2 linked regions of the Lonchura striata genome follow. The protein of the gene in region 1 interacts with the protein of each later gene in a pairwise test. Links are inferred from orthologs where the notes say so. Each region holds a gene or a part of one and is shown on either strand. Other genes may lie near its edges.

Region 1 (3,908 bases):
AAATTACTTTCTAAAATAACTGCCTCTTCTTTAATCTACTAAAAGAACTACTGCACTTGATGGCCTTTACTTTTTAAGCACAACATTATCACAATACTAAGCACAGAAAGACAACAGCTCACAAAAACGACAGCATTTGTTCTTGTAGACAAACATTCATAAAAAGCAGCACAATACAGGGTAAAAACTAGAACTACCTTCTTATTACAGGTCTGATGCACTTTTTCAAAATCTGCCCTAAGAACAAAACCAGTTTATCTAAATGGAGTCTCTCTGATGAGTATTTTTAAAGTTTTTTATTTCACAGGGCTTTTTCGTACTAAAAAAAAAAAAAAAAAAAAAAGTAGAGAGAAAAAATACTCTTGCTGTTGACTTTCTAAAAGTCAAAATAGAGGGCTAAAAAGTTAATCTGCTTTCAGAAATGTGTTGCCCAGTATTATAAAGTGTAAAAGTAGATACCTGGAATTCGTTGTAATAAAAGAGTAGTATTGCAAAATCAAATTATGATGCTATTTCCATTCTTCATGGACCTTTACATTACTATTTCCTGATCTAACTCCACAACCTTTACCTTATTTACAGTCATGTATTTTCAATGAAGAGATCTTTCAAAACAAAACCCCAAACAATCAAACAATGAAAGACTTAACCTCTGCTTCTGCCTCTCTCATTCTTGTGTCTCAATGTCTGGAAAGCTGGGACTGGAGTCCCATTTTATCACCTATCTAAGAGTCCTATGGCTGCTCTCTCATACAGCCAAAGCAAACCAGCTAAAAGAAACAGGAGGATTATTAAGACTACCTATGAAAATATACACAGAACACAGGAGACTAACAGTACCCATAAAGCAACAGCCACGGAGCAAGACCTTCCTTGCAATTTTAAAAAGCATTTATTTAGCAATGTTGAAAGCATTCAGCAGGAGCACTGCAAAGGGCTGGATGAGTGGCTCATGAGAGAGGTCAAAGTACAACCAAAAATGTATGTATCAACATTTAAACTAGAATTAGTTAATACTGTTGATGACAAAACCCAGTGAAATAGGTTAAGAAACTGTACTGAAGATTACACCGTTTCTGAAAAGTTGTCTTTACCCTAATAATCAACTCTCTTTCACAGATAATTGCCTACCCTACAAGAACATTAACTGCTGAGGTATTTGTGCCACAGCACCTGAAATAAAAGCAGATCTCAAAGATCTAATTCACTTTCTACGATTCTAAGCTCTGGCTTAAATATGTTAGGGACCAGTACATTTTATTAGTGAAATTTTTTCTATTATTTCATCTAGGCTACTGAGCAGCATGGATATAATGATTTAAGTTTATCCAGACTTCACAAAGCCAAGTTTGCTACCTCAGGAATTTATAAAGTGAGCTAAACAAACACACAAGAAGAGTGTGGGGCACAACAATTCTTACAGTGCTGCAGATGGATTATTGTTCAGAAAAAAAAAAAAAAAAAAAAAAAAAAAAAAAAAAAAAAGGCAGGAAGAATTCCTGGAAGAAATGAGAGTTAAAGAGGGATTAAGGAGGTACTTGGGGCATAGTAAGCAGCCTAAGACTCTTCCAAATATGCAGGACAACATGAATGAAAGCGCAAAGCTAAGGCTTTGTCTAGACTAGGATTTAAATATGTTGGAATGTTTTGGAAGTATATGTCAGCCAGGCAACGCAGAATATTACTCTAGACATGTAAGTGTATACACATTCAGAGTCAAAACCGAAAAATAATAAATTAAAAAAAAAAAAAACAAAAACAGAAAAAAAGGAACCAACAAAGCAAGAGCACACAGAGCTAACAGAGATTGGGGACAAGTTCTTCAAAACCATTGCGAGACTACGGCAAAAGCGAAAATGAAAAGGTACCGAAGGAGAATCCAGGTAAGAACTGCCAACCGTGGCAGTAAATGGCCCAGCTTAGGCTGGAGACTTCTGCCACGCAAAGAAATAACCTGACCTTGCAGCTCCGATCTGCAACATGCTCCACGTCCCCTCAACTACTTCGGACAACCAGGCGGAGCACCAGTGACCACGCTAGAGGGACGACGCCTTCCGCAGCCCGGGCGGCGCTGCGGCCGAAGCCCCGGCAGCCCGGTCCGCGCGGGCGCCCGGCGGCCCCGGGCGTTACGGCCCCCGAGCGCCCGCAGCCCTCCCACAATGCACCGAGCCGCTCCCGGGAGCGCGCGGCACTGCCGGGTGACACCGCAGCCCGGGTACCCGCGGCGTTCGGGGCGCCCGCCCCGTTACGGGGAGCAGCGCTGCGTTAATCGGTGGGGACAAGCAGGAGGCAGCGTGGGCAGGGCGAGTCGGAGGGCTCGGTGAGACATGGGACGACGCCAGGAATCCCGAGGAGACCGAGAGGGGACGGGCCGGCAGCGCTCCTGCCCCACCGGGGCAGCGCCAGGCACAGGGGCCGCGGTGGGGCCCGACCCCCGCCCCGGCCCTGAGTGACAGCCGCCGCCGCCAATCGCATGGCAGCGCGGACCCGCAGGCCCGCGGCTCAGCCAATGGAAACGCGAGGGCGGGAGCAGGGCCGGGCCGCGCCGAGACAGCCGCGGCCCGCAGCCCCCGGAGCGGAGCCACCCGAGGAGCGGCCGGGGGCCGCCGGCCCGAGGCGCTGCGTCGCCGTCCCGGCCGCTCACCTCCCCTTCACCGTCACACCGCGTTTCCGTATGAGCTCGTCCAGAGACAGGTCCGCCATCTTGTCGCGGCCCCAACGATGAGACGCAGCGAGAGAGTCCCGGAGGTGACACCGTGCGGCTTCCGCTCCTCGCCCCGCCCCCAGAAGTACGGCGGGCCCCGCCCCGGCTCCGCCCGCTGTGACGGGCCGCCCCACAACTCCCCGCGGTCCCCGGGCCTCTCATTTGCATACGGCGCGGCACGGCGCGGCTCGGTTCGGGCTCGGTTCGGCCCGCGGCGGCGGTTCCGCGGCGCGAAACGGGGCAGGAGCCGGGCGCAGCGGTGAGGACGCTGCAGAGCGGCCAGAAGCCGCGCCGGCGGCGCTCGCCCTGACCTGTGGAGCCAGTGCGGAGCGGCGTCCCGGCGGCGCGGCGGGCTCTAGGTTATGCCTTAAACTTATGAGTAAGGAAAATAACGACCCGGGGTGACGCCCGGGTCCTCACTCGGAATGTGAGAGGAATTTTTGCGCGGGTACAGGTCGCCCCTGGGTGCCCCGCTTACTTCGCGGGATGCCCGGGTGCCGTGATCTGCCCGACCCTCCGTGGCCCGGGTGCCAAGGACAGAACTGCTGCGGCGCGCCGCCCCCGGGGCGGCACACAGCCGGGCCCACGCGGGCCAACGCCAGCAGAAATTCCGACCGCACTGGAGATCGGAAATTCCTTTAAATAAACCACCAGCCTTGCCTAATAAATACTTCGCGTGTCTGCAGGACGCAATTCCTTTTCCGTTCTTCTGAGGGAGCAGTTCCACCGTTTAAAATCACGCGAAGAGTGAAAGCGGAACGGTGCCTTGTGCAGCTGGGGCAGCGGTGAGCTGCCGGGTCCCTGCGGCTCTCCGTGCGGGCCGAGGCGTGCTGCCGCCCTCAACGCGCCGCTTCGCAGCACGGCACAGCCTCGGCTTCCCCCAAATGCGGCTTGGCTCCCGCCGCAGCTCTGTCACGAGCTTCGCTTCTGACCCCTTCGCACCCCGCTGTTCCCTTCTGCTTCCCCAGCTGAGCTGCACTAACCCTGGGGCTTTTTTATTTCACTTCTTCTATTCCATAATAGATATTTCCAATAAAGGTATTTTACGGTCAGTTTCTCAGAATACGCCAGTTTTCTTGCACACACCTGGATCCCAGGTCATGTTGTCAGTGACCTGCTGCATGCTTAGGGAATACTAAATTCCTGAGAGAAGCAGAGCAATTTGCTTGCAGAGAGCTGCACAGAAATTTGCCTTTCTTTCTGG
Region 2 (3,908 bases), on another chromosome or scaffold:
ACTACGTGCTGAGAATTCACTTCACCTGTAGCAGAGACCCGACTCAAATCTAGCAAGTTTAAATGGCCACTGTGAAACAAGCATAATTTTACACAGTAGTTTTGAATGAAAATTAATACTGCACTCATAACTTTTAAAGATAAAGCTTCACCCTTAGCAGCGTTGCCATATTGCAAGGGGACGGCACCAACTCCTACTGGGAGATCTCTCTGGTTTCTCCCTTAGCAACCAGCGCAGTTTGGCGGAGTTGTCTTACCTCGGAAAAATTAACCGCCAAGGGGATAATTCCTGCCACATAGCAGGCAACCAGCATGGCCAGGGACAGCAGGCAGATGGAGGGGAAGTCATCCATTTCGCCGCTTTCTGTCCGGTCCCTTGAAGTGAAATCCAACAGCAACTTTTCCACCTCCCAGCACGCCTTAACCCGTGCAGCCACGGAGCTCCCGGGAGAGGCTTTGGGCCATGTCTCTGCGCCCGGCGGCAGCGGCCGGCTCGGCCCGCAGCCGGGGTGCGCGGCCGGGCGGGAGCGGCTTGGCCAGCGGCCGGCGGGCCCGGCCCTCACCTGGGCGGGGGAACTTGCACCCGCACCGTGCTGCGCGCAGGGCAGGCGGGAGGGAGGGCTGGGGGACAGCGAGCCCGCAGGCGGCTCCTCGCGGCGGGGCAGCCCCAGGCGGGGCCGAGGGGACCGTGCGGGACCGGCGCTGCCAGCCCGTTCCCGCGGCCGCTGCCCGGCGGCCAAGTGGCACTCGGCGCTTCCCCTTCCGGGCCGCCCCGCCCCGCCCCGCGCGCTGCCCGCCTCCAAGATGGCGGGCGGCGCCTCGGCCCGCGAGGCGCCGCGGGCGGCTCCCCCACCAAAGATGGCGGCGGCCGCGCCCCGCCCCCGCCAGCCTGGCCGCGGCCCCGCGGGCGCGTGCGCGCGCGGCGCTCTGGCGCGAGCGGCTCTATGGTGGCGGCCGTTGGCGCGGCGGCGCTTCCGGCGGGCGCGAGGGCCTGTGGGGGATCGCCGCGCGCCACTTCTGCCGGCGGTGCTGAGGGAGCGGAGCCGCCATGGTGAGAGCGGGACGGGCCCGCCGCGTTCCGCCAGCGCCGCGCCCGCCGGGGCGGCCTTCCCTTCCCTCCTCTCCCTGTTCCCCGGGTCACTGCGGGCGGGAGGGCCGCGGCCGCTGGTGCGGGCCCGGGCGGGCGGCTGCACGTTTTGGCGGGGCAGGGCCGGACGGGGCGGGAGCACAAAGGCGGCGGTGGCGCTCGGGCAGCGGGGCGCTGGAGGCTCCTGCCCCTCTCCCCCAGAGCCTCGGCCCCTCTTGGGGCGCTGCTGGGATCCCAACGCTTTCCTGCGAGTGTCGCCCGTCGGACGAGCCGGCCTTAAATGGCTGATCTGCGATTTCCATGCTGCTTTCCCTGCTCCTCCCCTCTGCTCGAAGGAGGGAAGGGCGGGAGCTGCATTTATGGGCACTGGGAATGGCACGCTGAAGCTCAAAGGCCTCCCTATTAACGTGGTTTGTTGCGTTCATCTAATGAATTAAGATGAGCTGAAGCAAGTGATTGCTGTGCAGTGGGAGGACAGCCTCTTGTCGGTTTGCAGCGAAGTTTCATATCTGCCTGGTACTTGCTCCAGTGCAGTTGACTTCGGCCATGATGTGCAGCTGCAAGCCCTGTCCCTGTTGGCCAAAATGAAAGGTGGGCCTTAGGCCACTTTTTCTGCTTGGCATTTAGGTGTGTGCAGTATGCGACTGGTTGGTATTTGCATTACTGCACATCTTACCCTTATAATATGTGTATATCTTCCACTTTTATTGTTTCAGGGCGCTTTTTTTTCCACTTTATTGTCAAATACACTACAGTTGGTGGAAGCCTCTTTGGGCGGCAGATGCTGTGTAGCTTTAAGTCCTGCTGGTTTGGCTCTTGGCACTGCTTTAACCAGTTTTACAGGGTTCTGCTCTCAGTAGCAGGAGCAATTTCTCAAGTGCTCTCCAGAAGTTCAAAATTGGTATAATATAAACCATGTGATTCCTCATTCTGTGTCCTGCTTAAAAGCAGCGAGTAAACTGTGCTTTTAAGGAAAATGCAAAGAAATTCAACATTATGTATCATCATAGTAACGGTCCATATTGGGCTTCTCCAGACGACCTGGTGCTAATGCAGAAAGGTTTGTGGATCTTCCCTTGTTTTGGTTCTGTCACCTAGGCTCACAGGGCAGGTAATAGGAGACTTCCCTAAGGCTTCTGAGCTTGTCATTAATTTGTACCTACGTGGTAGGACAGGACCAGCAATTTTATCAAATCCAACAAATTTTCCTTTAAAGTAAAACAATGTCAAGTTCCCAAAGAAATGTTTGAAAAGCATTAATTCTACAATACACGTGATCCAGTGGTATTAATTTACATATTTTTCTGAGCCAGTATCTGATAATGGATATTGTATAGTGTCTGAAGTGATAAATGGCTTAAAGTCAGAAGTCTGAATGACTTCTGCTGTGAAGTTCTGAAGGAACTGGCTTACGTGTCTGGCTCACTGATGTTTCTATAATCTGATTATTTGGGTAATTTCAGAATTTATACATTCATTTAGCACTCCTCAGTGACCATCTAACTAAAATGATAGTGCTGGAAAAATTATTTTATGGTAATCTTTGCCAGTCATTTGGACTCCCTGCTAAGACATGCCTGTTCCAAGTACTGTGCACTTAGGAACAGCCAGATACCAACCCACCTTGGGGAATTCCCTTCAAGTCAGTCATCCTCTGGCATACATGAAAGTGGATTTAAATTATCTCCTCTCCTTTGTATGGTTTTTGTTGTTACAGTGTGCAGCTCAGAATTCCCCTTTTTTCCATTACTGATTAGATAAAGCCTCGCTCCTTCTTTTTCTCTGCATAACATTTTCCTGAATTTCTCAGAATCTGCTACTGCTGTGTTGAGACAAAGAACTGAAAACTGTATTCCAAGGATGGGAACACTGTCAGTTATGGGATAAGAATTTGTCCTGTTGTTTGGGTTTTTTCCTGTAAATCCTAACATTTGTCATTTCTCTTTTCTGTCACTGCTTTTCATGAGCACCGAATTGGTATCTTTACTGATTTCCAAAGTATGGGTCAGGATTTTTCTGTCAGCTGCTGATTAATCTAAGACAGATGATATCTGCAGATGCCTTTGTGTTGTGTGCTCACCTCACATATTACCGCTGAAAATGTTGGATCCAACTAGCAGCACTGGAAACGGCCATTTGCAGTATGCTTGCAAACTTTCTGTGGTATGCAACCTGTTAATGAGATCACAGATTGTGTACACTTCAAAAATCTTGCTTTTTTGCTCAAATTACTTGCTGCAGCCAAGTAAAAATGTTATGGAAATAATGGAAGCCACAGAGTGTACAATCATCTAAGCCTTTCCCGCAGAAGAACAAGCTTATGGACTCCAACATTTGGAACAGTTTTCTGTGCCATAATTACTGTTTAAGTAAACTCATTGAAGTGGGAAAAACCAGTACATCTGTTTTGCAAGAAATAATCTTGAGTGCTAAGTACAGATTTATTGTATCACTTCCCTTGAAGTTAAATTGATAACTTAAAACAGCTAATTCTGTTAAAATCTTTCATGTGAACATGACAATGTTGTTAAGTTGGGTCCCCTCTTTGCTCTTTAATTGGGGCATTGGAAATTTTACTAACAGCTTGCATTTGGAATTAAATAAGTAAATGCAGTAATGCCACAGCTCTTATACATTGACTTTATTGCTTTGCTTGTCTGTCTAAATAAAAACTGTTCCTGTGGTATTTTTTTTTTCAACACAATAGCTGTTTACTGGTGATTTTACACATTTTAAAGTTCCATAAGGATTGATAGGATCTGTTGAAAACAAAACTAACACAGCTTACATATATAGTAAATGCTATGTGGAAAATGTCTGTG

Evidence for each region.
Region 2: the proteins of POLDIP3 (region 1) and ERH interact in a two-hybrid assay, tested with the Homo sapiens proteins (2 studies listed by BioGRID, with this or other methods). The link is inferred for Lonchura striata from reciprocal best matches to the Homo sapiens genes POLDIP3 and ERH.

What each region holds. Positions count from the first base shown.
Region 1 is NC_134607.1:57,867,419-57,871,326, reverse strand, and holds the start of POLDIP3 (polymerase delta-interacting protein 3), read right to left. Parts: upstream 2,805-3,908; 5' UTR 2,704-2,804; coding exon 2,645-2,703; intron 1-2,644. UniProt on the Homo sapiens protein: Is involved in regulation of translation. Is preferentially associated with CBC-bound spliced mRNA-protein complexes during the pioneer round of mRNA translation. Contributes to enhanced translational efficiency of spliced over nonspliced mRNAs.
Region 2 is NC_134608.1:33,811,397-33,815,304, reverse strand, and holds the start of ERH (enhancer of rudimentary homolog), read left to right. Parts: upstream 1-940; 5' UTR 941-1,047; coding exon 1,048-1,050; intron 1,051-3,908. Other genes in the region: SLC39A9 (zinc transporter ZIP9), read right to left, coding at 257-352. UniProt on the Homo sapiens protein: May have a role in the cell cycle.